2 separate regions of the Mus musculus genome follow, and region 2 is reported to be linked to region 1. Evidence: microRNA targets listed by miRTarBase, many of them from high-throughput screens and not tested one by one. Region 1 holds a microRNA gene; the other region holds the end of a gene's coding sequence.
What was found. The annotated mature microRNA mmu-miR-3970 reads GAGGUUGUAGUUUGUGCUUU and lies in region 1 at 2,122-2,141, opposite strand. An mRNA with a match to its seed (bases 2 to 7 or 8) in the 3' UTR can be bound and repressed. Matches are read on the target gene's strand: a 7mer-m8 pairs with bases 2 to 8, a 7mer-A1 pairs with bases 2 to 7 and ends in A, and an 8mer does both.

Region 2: miRTarBase lists Gpcpd1 as a target of mmu-miR-3970. Seed matches in the 3' UTR shown: 7mer-m8 at 2,667-2,673.

Annotation. Positions count from the first base shown.
Region 1 is chr19:33,151,369-33,159,262 of GRCm38, reverse strand. It overlaps Mir3970 (microRNA 3970), which reads right to left and starts at 2,151; the gene lies at 2,062-2,151. It also overlaps the pseudogene Rnls.
Region 2 is chr2:132,523,968-132,531,861 of GRCm38, reverse strand. It overlaps Gpcpd1 (glycerophosphocholine phosphodiesterase 1), which reads left to right. Exons shown (of 20, transcript NM_028802.3): 20 at 1,120-2,780. The coding sequence ends at 1,309. It overlaps 1700026D11Rik (RIKEN cDNA 1700026D11 gene), which reads right to left. Exons shown (of 4, transcript NR_028286.1): 4 at 7,805-7,894. Among named protein-coding and RNA genes, the nearest start is that of 1700026D11Rik, 37 kb to the right of the region's middle.

The DNA.
Region 1 (7,894 bases):
TATTGCAAGATGTTGAACTTAGACAGGAAAAGGCCATGAGAGTAGCAGTGTTCCAACAACTGCACAAACTTTTCCAGAGTTAAGCGTGCACTTGAGGAACAGTCAGTAATTCTGTTTCACAGAAAAGTAGGATGTTGCTAGAGTATGGGACAAGATCACAGGAACTATTCTGTCCCTGTCCCTGGAGAGGGCTACTGCTATGCCCTCTGACCTACTGCCACAGTCAGAAGACTACAACAGAGGCTCCATTTCAGTTCTCCAGTTCCTTACTCCACCCTTCCCTTGCTGTCATCTGTGGCTGGACTTCTTTGTATCATGATAGTCTAATGCTTATTCTCTCTCTTTTCTTCCTCCCTCCTCCCTCCCTGCTTCCACCCTCCATTTCTTTTCCCCTCCCTTCCCCATTTTTAGTCCCTTACTTGGTGTAAGTCACAGAGATCTATTTATAACTGACCCCCTCCTTTCTGGCTCTAAGAGACCTTAGATTCTCATCCATTGCAAAGGTGAGTTAAGGATTGCAAAACTCCAGGACAATTATGGTTCTAGGAAGCAAACTTAGAATTCAAACACACCCTACATAAAAGCTAGTCCTTTTCGAGCCTGTCTAACTGCTGGTGGTTTTTGAGTTCTAGCTTTTCCCCAATGGTGACAAATTGTCATCGAATTCTTTCTTCCTTGATGTCAGCTAGAGTAGTCATGGTTAGCATTTGTACTCTGATCTTAGACATTCCTCATGGACTGTTCCCATCTGATGCTCACATCAGTCCTGATATCCAGAAGGAAATACTGTCTCTGCTTTAAATGAGGATGTTCTGGTTTCTGATGCAAACTGTGCCTCTAGTGACATAACTACTAAACAGTGAAACAGAAACTGGTACACTTCACTTTAGACTCAGAGCCCGTGTTATATCCCCTCATGGGTGAGCTGGAAGTGGACCAGAAACATAAATGGACAGCCTTAAGCTATAAAATTTCTAACTGAAAACATAGGAGAAGATTAGTATGACCTTGGGTTTCATGAGCATTTTTAGATAGAATAGAAAGAGCACAAATTATTTAAAAAGGAAATGATAAATTGTATCTACTGAATATTAAAACCAATATATTTGAAAGGTACCATAAGGAGAATAAAAAGGCAACTGCAAAATAAAAGAAAGTGTTAGAAAAGCACATATCTGATAAATGTTTACTATCCCAAGTGTATAGTGAATTCACACAAATCAATAATTTAAAATAATACAAATGGTTCAATTGTTTTAAAGTGGGCAAAAGATTTGAAGAACATGACACTAAAGATACTTGCATTTAATCATGGGAGATTTACACAAGAACTATATTGTTGAAAGAAGGGAACAATGACCTAAGTGAACCAAGAGGTGCTATGAATTGAAAGATGATACGTGTAAGAGGTGGTATGACCCAAAAAGATGCTCAAACCCACTGCTATCCAGATCCAGATCCTAGTTGCCAGTGCAGAAATGAAAAACCCAATTCAAGAGGCTAGAGGGATGGTTCAGAGGTGAAGAGTGAGTGGTGATTTTATAGAGGATCCCAGTCTGGTAGCTCATAACCACCTGTAATTCCAACTTTAGGGGATCCAATGCCTCGGGACTCCACCAGCATTATGTATGTGTGCATACCCAGAGTCTCTTTCTCTCTCTCTCTCTCTCTCTCTCTCTCTCTCTCTCTCTCTCTCACACACACACACACACACACACACACACACACATCTAAAAATAAAATAAATACTATATTTACAAAACTGATTCAAGATTTTTTTTCTTAGAAAATTTCAAGTGTTCCCTAGATAACCCAAAATAATCTATTAAAAGAAGAGCTGAATTGGAAGAGTCACAGTTTAGTTTCAAAACTACTACAAAACTGTAGCTACCCATTCAAAGCAGGACTGGCATGAGAGTAGATGTGATTGACACATCATAAGTGAGAGTCCTGAAGCAAACCCACAGATGATCAGCTGATTTCTGACAATGTTCCAGTGTCTATTAAGTGGAGAAAAATGTAGTCTTACCAGCATGGGCACTGAAACAACTGCACCTCCATAAACAAAAGGGTGATGCTGGTTTCTGCTTCATACTGAGTATTGAAATCTCTACAAGATAGAAAGCACAAACTACAACCTCAAATTCCTAGAAAATTGCACAGGGGTAAGTTCTCATGACCTTATATTTGACAGTTGTTTTTAGATATCACTTATTCTCTCTCTCTCTCTCTCTCTCTCTCTCTCTCTCTCTCTCTCTCTCTCTCTAAAAGAAAAATATAATTTTAACTATTTCAGAAATCAAATGTTCATTTATTTTAGAATTATCAAAAGAGTACAAAGGGGCCTGAGAGATAGCTCAGCAAATAACAACACTGGCTGGCCAGAGCACTGACTGATCTTTTAATTCCAAGTTTAATTCCATTCACCTACATGGCGATTCGTCATTATGTACAACTCCAGTCCTGACGCTCTGCTGGCCTCTACATGTGCGAGGCATGCACTCGGTGCACAGGTGTGCATGCAGGCAAATCACACACAATATCAAATAAGATAATAATAATTTATAAAAGAAAATAAAAAGATAAAATGAGAGAAAAGATTGATGGGTCACGTTTCTAATAAGAATCTGCATGGAGAATATATAAAGAATTCACTCCTACAACTCAAAAGGAATAGGAAAGCTCAATTAAAATGAACAAAGGGCTTGAATCAATACAATGCCCAAGAAATACAGATGAATACATGAAAATGTACTCAACATCATTATCCATTAGGGAAGTGCATAGCAAGACCACACAGTGTGATAAACAGTGAACTTACAACCACTAGAGCTATAAATTCATTAGCATACATTAAGTTTATAAAACCATTATTCTCAATGTCTTTTGTTGAAGATAGCTATAACTTTTTAATATAAATCAAGGAGTCTTTGTGAGGATATGGAGAAGTGAAGTGTTTGTGCTTTTCTGTAAGGAATATGCAATGAGTCCACTTCCTAAGAAAACAACTGGGTGGTAAATTATGATCCTGTCATTCTCAAAAGAGTCAACTGAATATCTTCAGATAATTTGGACAACAATATTCAAAATAGCCAAATTTATAAACAGCCCAAAGTTCATCAGCTGATGGAATGTGGCATATCCATACACTGGAATATAGTTCAAACATAAAAATTGGTCAACTACTGATAAATGCTAGATCGTGGAAAAGCCTTGAAAGGATCATGCTAAATGGAAGAAGCCAATCACAAAGGTTATATATCAAATGATTCTATTTATGTGGCATCTCTACTATGGGCAGATCTACTGGGAACATCATCCATTTCAGGGTAGGTCTCATGTTCAAGAATAGCTGACCAACATACAATGGACCCCACACATTTTTGTCTGATTTTACTTGGTTACAGTTTGGTGGGGGTTTTTTTGTTTTGTTTGTTTATGTGGGTGTTGTTTTATTGTTTTTTCTTGGTTTGGAGGGTTTTGTTGTTGTATTAGTTTTGTTTGTCTCTGTTTTTTGTTTCTTTCTTGAGAAAGAACTTAAAGTTGGGTGGATATAGAGGGGAGAGGACCTGAAAGGACTTGGCAGGGAGAATATAATCAAAATATATTTGAATTTAAAACTGTTTTAAACAATAAAAATATAATTTTAAAATATTAATAAAATGCTACAAAAATAAAGTAGATTGGTGTTTTCCAATGGGTGTACCTAGTAGTAAGTTTTATGTTGTTTACCACATACAAGGAAAAGTAAATAGAAAGTAAGCGCATGTGCAATTCACACATGCACATACACACATGTACACAATACTGAACATCATTGACTATTAGGAGCATAAAGTTTAAAACCGTAATTAAGAGACTATTACTCACCTAAAAAATGCCTCATAAAAAAAATCTGAAGCTGGCAAGTTCTGAAACAGATGTGAAGGGACTCTAGTTCTGACATGCCAGTATTGTAAAGGCAAGGTGTCACACCTTTCCTTAGAAACAAGTTGCACCCTCATCATCTTGGGCACGATCTCGGTGGAGGGTCCTAAGCTCCCCAGAGGACTCTCCACGTTGCAGGCACCCTAGCACACCCGGGATCTTGAGATCACTGGTGAGTGGAAGGCAACATCAGTTCCAAAAATCCCAGAGGGTCTTGTGATAGCAGCAACAAGGTCAAAAGACAAAGGCAGGCCCTAACACACCCAGAATCTTGGGATCACTAAGACCGGTCTATGGAAGAGAGCATGTGGGTGGCAGAAGCAACAGAGTTCCTTGGACAGGGTCCCTTCAGGCATTCATCCTCAGCCAGGAGACAGAGCTGAGACCCAGACCTGCCAGAGGAGAGTCAGAATCCAGGGAGGGTTCAGACTCCAGAACTCAGGAGGTGGATCTGAGCTGCATACTTCTGTGCACCTTCCCTGCAAGAGGAGAGCTTGTCTGCAGAGAGTGCTCTGACCACTGGGACTCAGGAGAGAGTTGATCTCCCAGGAGTGCTGTCAAGAGCTAAAAAAATCACAGGAGGAACAAGCTCCTGCCAGAGACAGCTAGAACATCTAACACCAGAGATTACCAGATAGCAAAAGGCAAATGAAAGAATCTTACTAACAGAAACCAAGACCACTGGGCATCTTCAAAACCCAGTATGCCCACCACAGTGAGTCTCAGATACCCCAACATACCCGAAAAGCAAGATGCGGATTTAAAATCATATCTCATGATACTGGTAGAGGATTTTAAGAAGGGCATTAATAACTCAAAGAAATACAGGAAAACACTGCTAAACAGGTAGGAGACCTTAAAGAGGAAACACAAAAATCCCTTTACAGCAAAACACAACCAAACAGGTGATGGAATTGAACAAAAGCATCCAAGATCTAAAAATAGAAGTAGAAACAATGAAGAAAACCCAAAGGGAGACAACTCTGGAGATGGAAACCCTAGGAAAGAAATCAGGAACCATAGATGTGAGCATCAGTCACAGAATACAAGAGATAGAAGAAAGAATCTCAGGTGCAGAAGATTCCATGGAAAGTATGGACACAACAATCAAAGAAAATGCAAAATGCAAAAAGATCCTAACTCAAAACATCCAGGAAATCCAGGACACAATGAGAAGACCAAACCTAAGAATAATAGGTATAGGTGAGAATAAAGATTTTTAACTTAAAGGGCCAGTAAATATCTTCAACAAAATTATAGAAGAAAACTTCCCTAACCTAAAGAGAGAGATGCCCATGAACATCCAAGAAGCCTACAGAACTCCAAATGACAGGACCAGAAAAGAAATTGCTCCCAACACATAATAATCAGAACAACAAATGCACTACATAAGGACAGAATATTAAAAGCAGTAAGGGGAAAGAGGTCAAGTAACATATAAGGCAAACCTATCAAAAGTATACCAGACTTCTCACCAGAGACTATGAAAGCCACAAGATCCTGGACAGATGTTATACAGACCCTAAGAGAACACAAATGCCAGCCCAGGCTACTATACCCAGCAAAACTCTCAATTACCGTAGATGGAGAAACCAAAGAATTCCATGACAAAACCAAATTCACACAATACCTTTCCATGAATCCAGCCCTTCAAAGGATAATAAAGGGGAAACTCCAAAACAAAGAGGGAAATAACACCCTAGAAAAAGCAAGAAAATAATCAATCCTTCAACAAACCTAAAAGAAGACAGCTGCAAGAACATAATCGCAACTTTAACAACAAAAATAACAGGAAGTAACAATTACTTTTCCTTAATATCTCATAATATCAATGGACTCGATTGCTCAATAAAAAGACATAGATTAACAGACTGGCTACATAAACAGGACCAACATTTTGCTGCATACAGGAAACCCACCTCAGTGACAAAGACAGACACTACCTCAGAGTAAAAGGCTGGAAAACAATTTTCCAAGCAAACGGTCCAAAGAAACAAGGTGAAGTCGCCATTCTAATATTTAATAAAATCGACTTACAACCCAAAGTTATCAAAAAAGACAAGGAGGGGCACTTCATATTCATCAAAGGTAAAATCTTCCAAGATGAACTCTCAATTCTGAATATCTATGCTCCAAACGCAAGAGCATCCACATTCATTAAAGAAACTTTAGTAAAGCTCAAAGCACACATTGCACCTCACACAATAATAGTGGGAGACTTCAACAACCCACTCTCATAAATGGACAGATCCTGGAAACAGAAACTAAGCAGAGACACATTGAAACTTACAAAGGTTATGAAACAAATGGACTTAACAGATATCTACAGAACATTTTATCCTAAAACAAAAGGATATACCTTCTTCTCAGCACCTCATGGTACTTTCTCCAAAATTGACCATATAATTGGTCACAAAACAGGCCTCAACAGATACAAAAATATTGAAATTGTCCCATGAATCCTATCAGATCACCATGGACTAAGGCTGATCTTCAATAACAACATAAATAATAGAAAGCCAAAGTTGACATGGAAGTTGAATAACACTCTACTCAACGATAACTTGGTCAAGGTAGAAATAAAGAAAGAAATTAAAGACTTTTTAGAGTTTAATGAAAATGAAGACACAACATACCCAAACTTATGGGACACAGTGAAAGCAATCCTAAGAGGAAAACTCATAGCTCTGAGTGCCACCAAAAAGAAACTAGAAGAAGCACATACTAGCAGCTTGACAGCATACCTAAAAGCTCTAGAACAAAAGGAAGCAAATTCACCCAAGTAGCAGGAAATAGTCAATCTCAGGGCTGAAATCAACCAAGTAGAAACAAAAACAAACAAACAAACAAACTATACAAAGAATGAACCAAACCAGGAGCTGGGTGTTTGTTTGTTTGTTTTGAGAAAATCAACAAGATAGATAAACCCTTAGCCAAACTAACTAGAGGGCACAGGGACAGTATCCTAATTAACAAAATCAGAAATGAAAAGGGAGACATAACAACAGAACATGAGGAAATCCAAAACATCAGATCCTACTACAAAAGGCTATTTATACTCAACAAAACTGGAATACCTAGTTGAAATGGACAAATTTCTAGACAGATACCAGGTACCAAAATTAAATCAGAATCAGAGTAATGATCTAAGCAGTCCCATAACCCCTAAAGAAATAGAAGCAGTCATTAATAGTCTCCCAACCAAAACAAACAAACAAACAAACAAAAACAGACCAGATGGGTTTAGTGCAGAGTTCTATCAGACCTTCAAAGAAGACCTAATTCCACTTCTCCTCAAACTATTCCACAAAATAGAAACAGAAGGTACTCTACCCAATTCATTCTGTGAAACCACAATTACTCTATACCTAAACCACATAAAGACCCAACAAAGAAAGAGAACTTCAGACCAAGTTCCCTTATGAATGTCGATGCAAAAATACTCAATAAAATCCTCACAAACCGAATCCAAGAACACATCAAAACGATCATCCACCATGATCAAGTAGGTGTCATTCCAGGGATGCAGGGATGTTTTAATATATGGTAATCCATCAACGTAATCCACTATGTGAACAAACTCAAAGACAAAAACCACATGATCATCTTGTTAGATGATGAGAAAGAATTTAACAAAATCCAACACCCATTCATGATAAAAGTCTTGGAAAGATCAGGAATTCAAGGCCTATACCTAAACATAATAAAAGCAATATACAGCAAACCAGAACCCAACATCAAACTAAATGGAAAGAAGCTTGAAGCAATTGCACTAAAATCAGGGACTAGAAAAGGCTGCCCACTTTCTTCCTACCTATTCAGTATAGTACTCGGAGTCCTAGCCAGAGCAATTAGACAACAAAAGGAGACCAGGGGGATAAAAATTGGAAAGGAAGAAGTCAAAATATAACTATTTGCAGATGATATGATAGTATATATAAGTGATCCTAAAAATTCCACCAGAGAC
Region 2 (7,894 bases), not on the chromosome of region 1:
GTAGGTTTGGTTTGGTTTTTGTTTTGTAGCCTCAGAACATAACAGTATAATGGTTAAATTCATACAAACATCAAATGTTTTAAGGCCTATTAAGGATTAAAATTTTGTAAGAGAAAAAATAAGTAGTTGATGGAATGCAAGGGAGGGAAGAGCTGGGGTTATACAGGAGCACGTGAGAACGTAAGATCACTTGCCCTTACACTCACTGCAAGGGTCTGTTCTTTCCCCTTCTCTCTTGCTCCTTTTTGGAGTTGATCGTGATGCTTGGGACTAAACTTGGGCCATTCCCAATGCCACTCAAGTTCTCTGTCCCTGGCCTGTGTTCCTGAGCCCCTAGTATGAGTCAACAAGCTGGGCTCTGAGGGGCATGACTGCAGTCTCTGCTTGCACAGAAGCAAGATAAAGCTAAATTAACCACTCCCAACTAAATGTTAGAAAATAAAGTAGAAAAGTGTAACAGCTTTGTACCATGTGCATAGTCTGTGCTTTAACCTTGTTGTTGAGAAGTAGTTTTTCATCGTTAAAAATGCATGCTGCAGGGATGAATAGCTCTAGTGTCTACTTAGCATACACAGGGGCTGGCCACACCCCCAGCACCATGTTTAAAGGGTGTGGTGGCCCATGACTGTAATCCCAGCACTCAGGTGGGGATAGCAGGATCAGCTTCATATGCTGTCTTCCCTCTCATGACCCTGTGTCGTTCATTGCATATATAGCTGGTCTTTGTCTGTGAGCAGGCCTCACCTACCAGAGGCTCTTTCTGATCTCTGGTCATTTGTGAGTTAAGTCACTGGGGACAAGTTTCAGGGCTCAGGAGGTTTTCCTCCTGTAAACTAAGGCATCACCAGTTGTATACTTCAAGAATCACTAGAGCACTACAAATTCCATTTTCTGATTCAAGGAATTGTTTTATGACCGGGGTTACAAAAGAACAGTCTATTCTGAGAATTAATTCACCTAATGCTTTGATCTTTATCATTATCTTAAAGTAGAATAAAATACAATAAGAATGAATATTCCAGGTAGTTTTAAAATGGATTTTCTTAAAAAGTTAAGTCAGACAGTCCTTAATAAACATGAAATTACATTATTCTTATTGTGTGTCTGTTTTCACCATAGGATATATGATTGGATGCCTGAACAGCCAAATATATTCCAAGTGGAGCAGTTGGAGCGCCTGAAGCAAGAATTGCCAGAGCTTAAGAACTGTTTGTGTCCCACTGTTAGCCACTTCATCCCTTCTTCTTTCTGTGTGGAGCCTGATATCCACGTGGATGCCAACGGCATTGATAGTGTGGAGAACGCTTAGTTCACAGTGCACAGAGGACATTTAGGGGCACACCGCTGCCCTCATGTTTAGTTTTCACCATCGAGCACTGCTGTTGCCTCTTAGGTTTTTCAGTCCAATGAAGCAATAATGAAGTATTTTACTATTTCATTACAGGTCCCGCAAGAATATCAAGTATGCTATTTGTCACTTGTCCAGGTATAATTACCAATCAGTCTCTGTACAATAAGAAAATATACTGTTAAACATTTCAGTGAGATATCTAAGCCTATAATGGTGAATCTTCATTAAAAGTTGGAAATTAACGATATAAATATCTCATACTTAAAGTTCAGGCTTTTCATTTGATTAAGTCTTAAATCTTCAGTGCTTGAGAAAAATGATTGCATAATTATACCTGACCATGGAAAAACTAAGTACCTCAATGCATGCATTTGCACTGGTGGCTCCAGCTGCACAGGTCTGTGTCATCCATGTACATAGGTATCTTTACATGGTTGATAGGAACACGCACCATTTTCCTTTAGTATAAACCTCAGATTGCTGCCATTTCTCACCTGACCCAAGCCAGCCTGCAGATGAACCTCAAAACTTGTCTCATAAACCATTCAAAGATATTAAAGTTCCAGAATGCTGCAGGGTAACTTAATGTATAAAGTATTTGTAAGAAGTATATATTGCATATATAGTAGTGTAGATCAGAAGGTATCAATTTGACTCAATGCATGCTTTAGGTTTTAAGCATGAGATTGTACATGTTTACTGTTAAGTCCTTGCATCTGGTGCTAGGTGAGGGAGATGTTAAGGACATAAAATATTTTGTCGCCTAAAAAACAAAGTCTGTTTTAGACACTTTGAGTATGCTTATTTAGTGTCTCACTACCTAGTAAACATAAGTGTCTCACTACCTAGTAAACATAATTGCTGTGTGTTGCATAGTAGTTAAATTCCCATGCAGAAAAATAAATGTCCTGAATTCTCAAATTGGTATTCTTTATTGTTTAATATATATCATGTATGTAATTTATTTAGGAATGTAGATCTTACTGTATATAAATGCATGCTTTTAGGATTATACTAAGATTTCTTTAGAAGCAGATTGTACTGATAAAACTGTAACTTCAGAATGAATGTTAAATAAAATGACAGATTTATTTTTTTCCTCATCTTAAAATGAAATTTCAAGAAGGTATTTTGTAGAATGGTTTTATAATGGTATTCTGTCTTACAAATAGAAATTTTATTCTGCTTGTATGGGCCGACTCACCACACTTTCTCAGTGCTCCTGCTGAGGCAGTTTGTGCATGTATTGACAGAAGTTAAAAACATAAGACTTGAGATGACAAGTTGTACTTTTTTTTTTCTTTCAATTTTTGACACAACCTGTGTAGCCTTGGCTGTCCTGGAACTCACTGTGTAAGCCAGCTGGCTTTGAACTCTCAGATACATCTGCCTCTGCCTCCTAAGTGGTATTAAAGTCATGCGCCACCACCTTTGGCTTCCTGATTTGTTCTTAACAGTGCAACAATGGGGGTTTGGGTCAGTTCTTCACTGTGGGGAGATGGGGTCAGAAACCCTATGGTATTGTATTTGTAACATGATGTTTAGTGGAGCATAGTTTAGAAAATGGTCTTCTACAAGGGTATTTCTATATACTTTCCCATGTTGAATGAATCTTTAACATTTCCACATAATCAGGTACCTTCAGAAAATGTAATTGACTTTCTTCATAGACCTGTGTACCGTGTGGTGTGCTCCCTTTGCCTCTCTAGTTTTGTTCTGTGGCCATTCCCATGTATTTTCCCTCCTAGCTCCATTATTGTGTGTAGGACAGAAGAAAAGCACAAGGGTGCATCTTACAGAGGACTTGGTAGGGACTGGGCCCAAGCAGTTTAGTTTGCTGAGAAGAGCTAGGCTAGTGTACCATAGAGCCTGACCACTGTCTTCTCCATTACTAGTTGATTAGACTATGTGAGCTAACCTAGTGCCTCCATGTCACTAGCTGTCACCTTTCCTCTACTCAGCCATGCTGTGACTAGCTCTGCACCACTCCATCTGTGCCTATATGTCCTTTGCTTGGAACCTTCCCCATCAACTGGCCCACACTCTTGCTGCCTCATCTAACTATCCAGTGCCAACACTTTTGAATATTTTACTACTCCTTATTGCATTTACCAGTGATCTTACAGAGCCTTGGGACATTCCAGAGACACAGTTGGCATTCATCTTACCAACTTTACTTTTATTTCCACAGTAAATGAAATGTATTTATTTATTATGAAAGCACATTTTGAAGTGGCTTACATTATGACCACTGGGATAGCTTATTGATGTCAGTTATTACATGCAGATGTTTAATGTTAAATTATTTTACACTTTCTGGAAAGTTCTATGATTCTCTGGCATTTGCTCCCTATACTAGCTCTGCTCAGTATGGAGGCAAGGCATACAGCTCCCTCATGGAGGTGGTGGTAAGGATTGGTCTGACCTCTTGTCTGTGAACACAGAGCTCATTGGACTTGTGTGTGGTGCAGGGCAACTTGCCAGTCATGCACGATGACAGATCATTTCCCTTGTGCCTTTTTCTCTGTAGCTGTCACTGCATGTGTCATCTACAGTGTAATGGGTTTGGTTACATTAGCTTGATGAAAGAGCACTTAAAAGTTCATTCCTACATCTTAACAGCTACTCTGAAGATTTTTTTCATAAACGATTTTTGTGAATTTTATATTATGTACCCCAATCCCACTTATCCCCCTGACCTTATCTGCCCTCCGCCCTTGCAACACCCCCAAAAGAAAATAAGTCTCTCGGAAGCTGCAGTAGTATGTCACTTAGTATATCCTTTTGTCCATCTTTATTTGCAAATGCTCACAGCAGTAAATCATTGATCTGGTTCGAGGCCTCTGGCTTCTGCTACACTATCAATACTGGATCCTCACCTGCACTCCTCAGCTATCCTGTGTCATGAAGGTCCTGCAACTTTAGATCTACAGAACCAGCCCCTTTATGTGCTCTAGCTGTTCATAGATGGAATAGATGTTGGGATGGCCAGCTCAAAGCCCTGGATCTGGGCTTGGATGGTAGCTGAGTTGCTCAGCCCGCCAGCTCCTGCACCCCACACCACCAGGGCAAGCTCTCCAGCACTGACTGCCCCAGCTAGCTCATCCAGTGCTGCGGCTGGCAAGGGGCCAGTGCCAGCTCTTACTTCTCATGCCTTCGGGGCTGGCTCTACTGTGCTGCCTAAGGGAAGTGCTGGGCCCACTTCCATATGCTGCAGCGGCTGAGGCATGGAGCCAGTTCTGTGTAGCCCCTAGACATTAACAGGCTCCCAGGTGTCAAAAGAGTCCAAATCTAACACGTGGGGGGTGGGGGGTAGGGGAGGAAGGAGGGTCTTATTGAGCCTCAGGGATTTTCTAAGTGACTGGTCATAACTAAAGTGGGTTTTTCCTTCTAGCGTCACAACTGTCCTGTATATTTTATTAGCTACTGCAGTCCCCGGCAGCCTGGAGTTTTGTTCTGATTCTCAGGGGAGAGGTTACTTTGATGCTCACTGACATCACAACAGGTGGCTGCCGAGAACCAGACCTCAATAAGAGGTATCGAATCTATTTGATGAGCATTTGAAGGTTTAGAAAGTAGTCGTTGTTTTTCTTCACCTTAATTTTAATGGGATGGAGGAATGAATGATGTTCATTTGTGTTGTGACACTGACTACAGTTGAATGTATGCAGCCTACACACTACCGCCACACCCTTGACCTGTAAGCCTCATTCAGACCTGTCATCCACAGCTGAAACTGACTAAGGGTTTTCAAAAAAGGATATATTACAGGGCCAGGTTTAACCCCAGCACTTGGGGAGGATAACTCACCCCGACACTGCAGTTCTCCAGCCTACGGCTTCTGGGAGTCCTACTCTGGTTACCACTGTTCAAGGGTTCACTTCTTTATTTGGTTGGTTGGTTGGTTTTTGTTTTTGAGGCATGGTTTTGTGTATCCTTGGTTGTCCTGGAACTCCTTTTGTAGACCAGGCTGGCCTCAAACTCAGAAATCCACCTGTCTGTCTCCTGAGTGCTGGGAGCCACCACCTCGCCACTACCACACTGGGGGTTTGTTTTGTTTTAGCTTACAAAGTAAGCCTTTTCAGACAGCCTTAGTTTCACGCATACATCCCTCTACTTTTCTCCCCACCTCCCTGACCCAACCCTCCCCTGCCTAGATCTGGTAAAGGCTCTTGACACACGAGTTCAGGACATGCTGAAATCAGTGAGGAATGCACATCTGCACTGCATTAGGGGTAATCTGTTCAACATTGTCTTCCACTTTTCTTATTGATGTTCACTACATGCAGGTCGATATGTTTATTATAGTTACCCTTATATAAAATATATTTTTATAAAATATTAACCATGTTTTCCTTCTCAAATTTTCCAGTAGTCTCACTCATATACACCTGACTTTATTTTACTTTTCAATTTTTAGACTCAAACTTTGTTTTAAAATAGATTGTAACTTCCATTTGCCTACAAATCCTCTCAAATCATTTTTTGTCTTTAATTCATTTTGAGACAAGAGTTTTTCTTTTTGGTTCAGGGCAGCCTAAAACTCACTAAGTAGCCCAGAATGGCCTCCAAAATCAAATATTTTTTTTTTGCCTCAGTCCGCTGAGCACTTATCATTTCCAGCTTGTCCTGTCTCAACCTATTTGGTTTTAAGGTACTTTTCAAGGTGTGTGTGTGTGTGTCTGTCTGTCTGTGTGTTGGAATTCCATGAGCGTATTTTTCTCATTTCTTCTTCCTTCCAATGTCTAGTGGTCTTGATTTCATCCCTTGGGAGCTCCAGACCTCAGTGTGAAGCCAAGCCCATGATTTATCCCTGCTGGGGGGTGGGGAGGGCGCGGGGGGGGGCAGAGCAAAAACTGTGACTTCTGCTGCAGAGGTCTCTGTTTCTGTGGGTCCCGATATATACCTTTGGGTTGCAGTGTTTGCTGTTGGGGAACTCCCAAGATTCAACTGGATGCAGTCTTTGGGCTCTAAGGCAAAGTTGTCCTTCTCTCCCTATGCCCGCTCTAAGGCAGAGAAGGGCTTGGAAGCAAAGCCTGGCCAGGCAGGCTCTTGGATCACCTCATCTTACTCAGAGCGACAGAGCTTGGACAAGTGTGCAGGGTTCCATTCCAAGACGCCTCTCAGGTCTGACTCTCAAGCCTTCTGACCTGTTTCTTTGGCCATTCCTTTCACTCTATGAGATTTCTCGCTTTCTTCTAACTCACTAACTCCTTCCAGTATCAGGCTAACCTGTTCGGAGGCCTTTAAACATCTGTGAATGAGAAATGAAACCCTGTAAAATGTTGGAACATAATTTGGTGTAACTTTTCATTTTAACGGCTTGTGTTTTATTTTCATGGTAAGATAATTTATATACTTAGTATTGATAAACATATATTTTAAATTGTTTTAGGTTGATTTGTTTTATGAATGTTTGGCCTGCCTGTATGTATGTGTAACAAGCACATGCCTAGTGTTTGCAGAGGTTAGAAGGTCCCATTGGATCTCCTGGAACTGAACTTGGGTGAGAAAGCCTTGGAGAGCAAGCCAGTAAGCAGCACTCCTCTGTGGCTTCTGCTTCAGTTCCTGCCTCCAGGTTCCTGCCTGGGCTTCAGTTACGTGAAAGTAGCTCCATTTTATACTAGATACCATCGCGGTACCCCAGCCATTTGTCTCTGACTCTAGTCCCTGGAAGATAAGTTCCCAGTAACCTGAATTCAGCGATCCCCCACCCAAAAATGTACAGCTGTCACTATCTACTTGTTATGATATGACTAATTGGTTTTTTTCAGTTTTGCTTAAGAAGATACCCAAAGACTGTTTTCCGTTGCCTTACTTAACTTGGCATAAAAGAACAGTTTTTTTTCTTGCTTGCATAGATCTTGAAGGTCGTCCTGTGGTTTTCCCCTTTAAAAGTCTTTTCCCAAATCCCTCCTTCGCTGTAATCTCAAATTTAGCTCAGAGGTTGCTTGTCCTGCTAGGGGATAACCAATAAATCTTCTAACTGGATTGAGTTTATGGTCTTTTCTCAGGGATCCCAAATTTCACACTGCTTCCCTCAATGGACTTTGACCCAGGAGACTCAAGCCAAATAGACTCTTTCCTTCCCAAGTTGCTATTGGCTGTGATGTTTTATCTCAGCAATGGAAAGCACCCCAAGACAGTCCCTTTTTTCTCTCTGTGACACTTAGACTTTGGGCTAGGACTTCCTGAATAGGGCCCTGATCATGCAGAGATGACGAATGGGCCTCAGGAGACTCACAAGCTTCTGTACAGGAAAGTTGAGTGAAAAGCAGCCTTCAGGATGGGAGAACAATCTCTTCCATGGAGACATCTGACTTTGGGTTACCATTGAGAATATACAAGAACTCAAAAACTAAACATCAAGAAAAAAATGGTCTAATTAAAAATGTACTATGGAATTGAGCAAAGCATTCTCAAAGAAGAAAGACAAATGGCTAAGAAATATTTCTGAAGCTGTTTAGTCTCTTTAGCAGCATAAGTCAGGGTTCTCTTAGAGGAATAAAATTAATGGGATGAGAGAGAGAGAGAGGGAGAGAG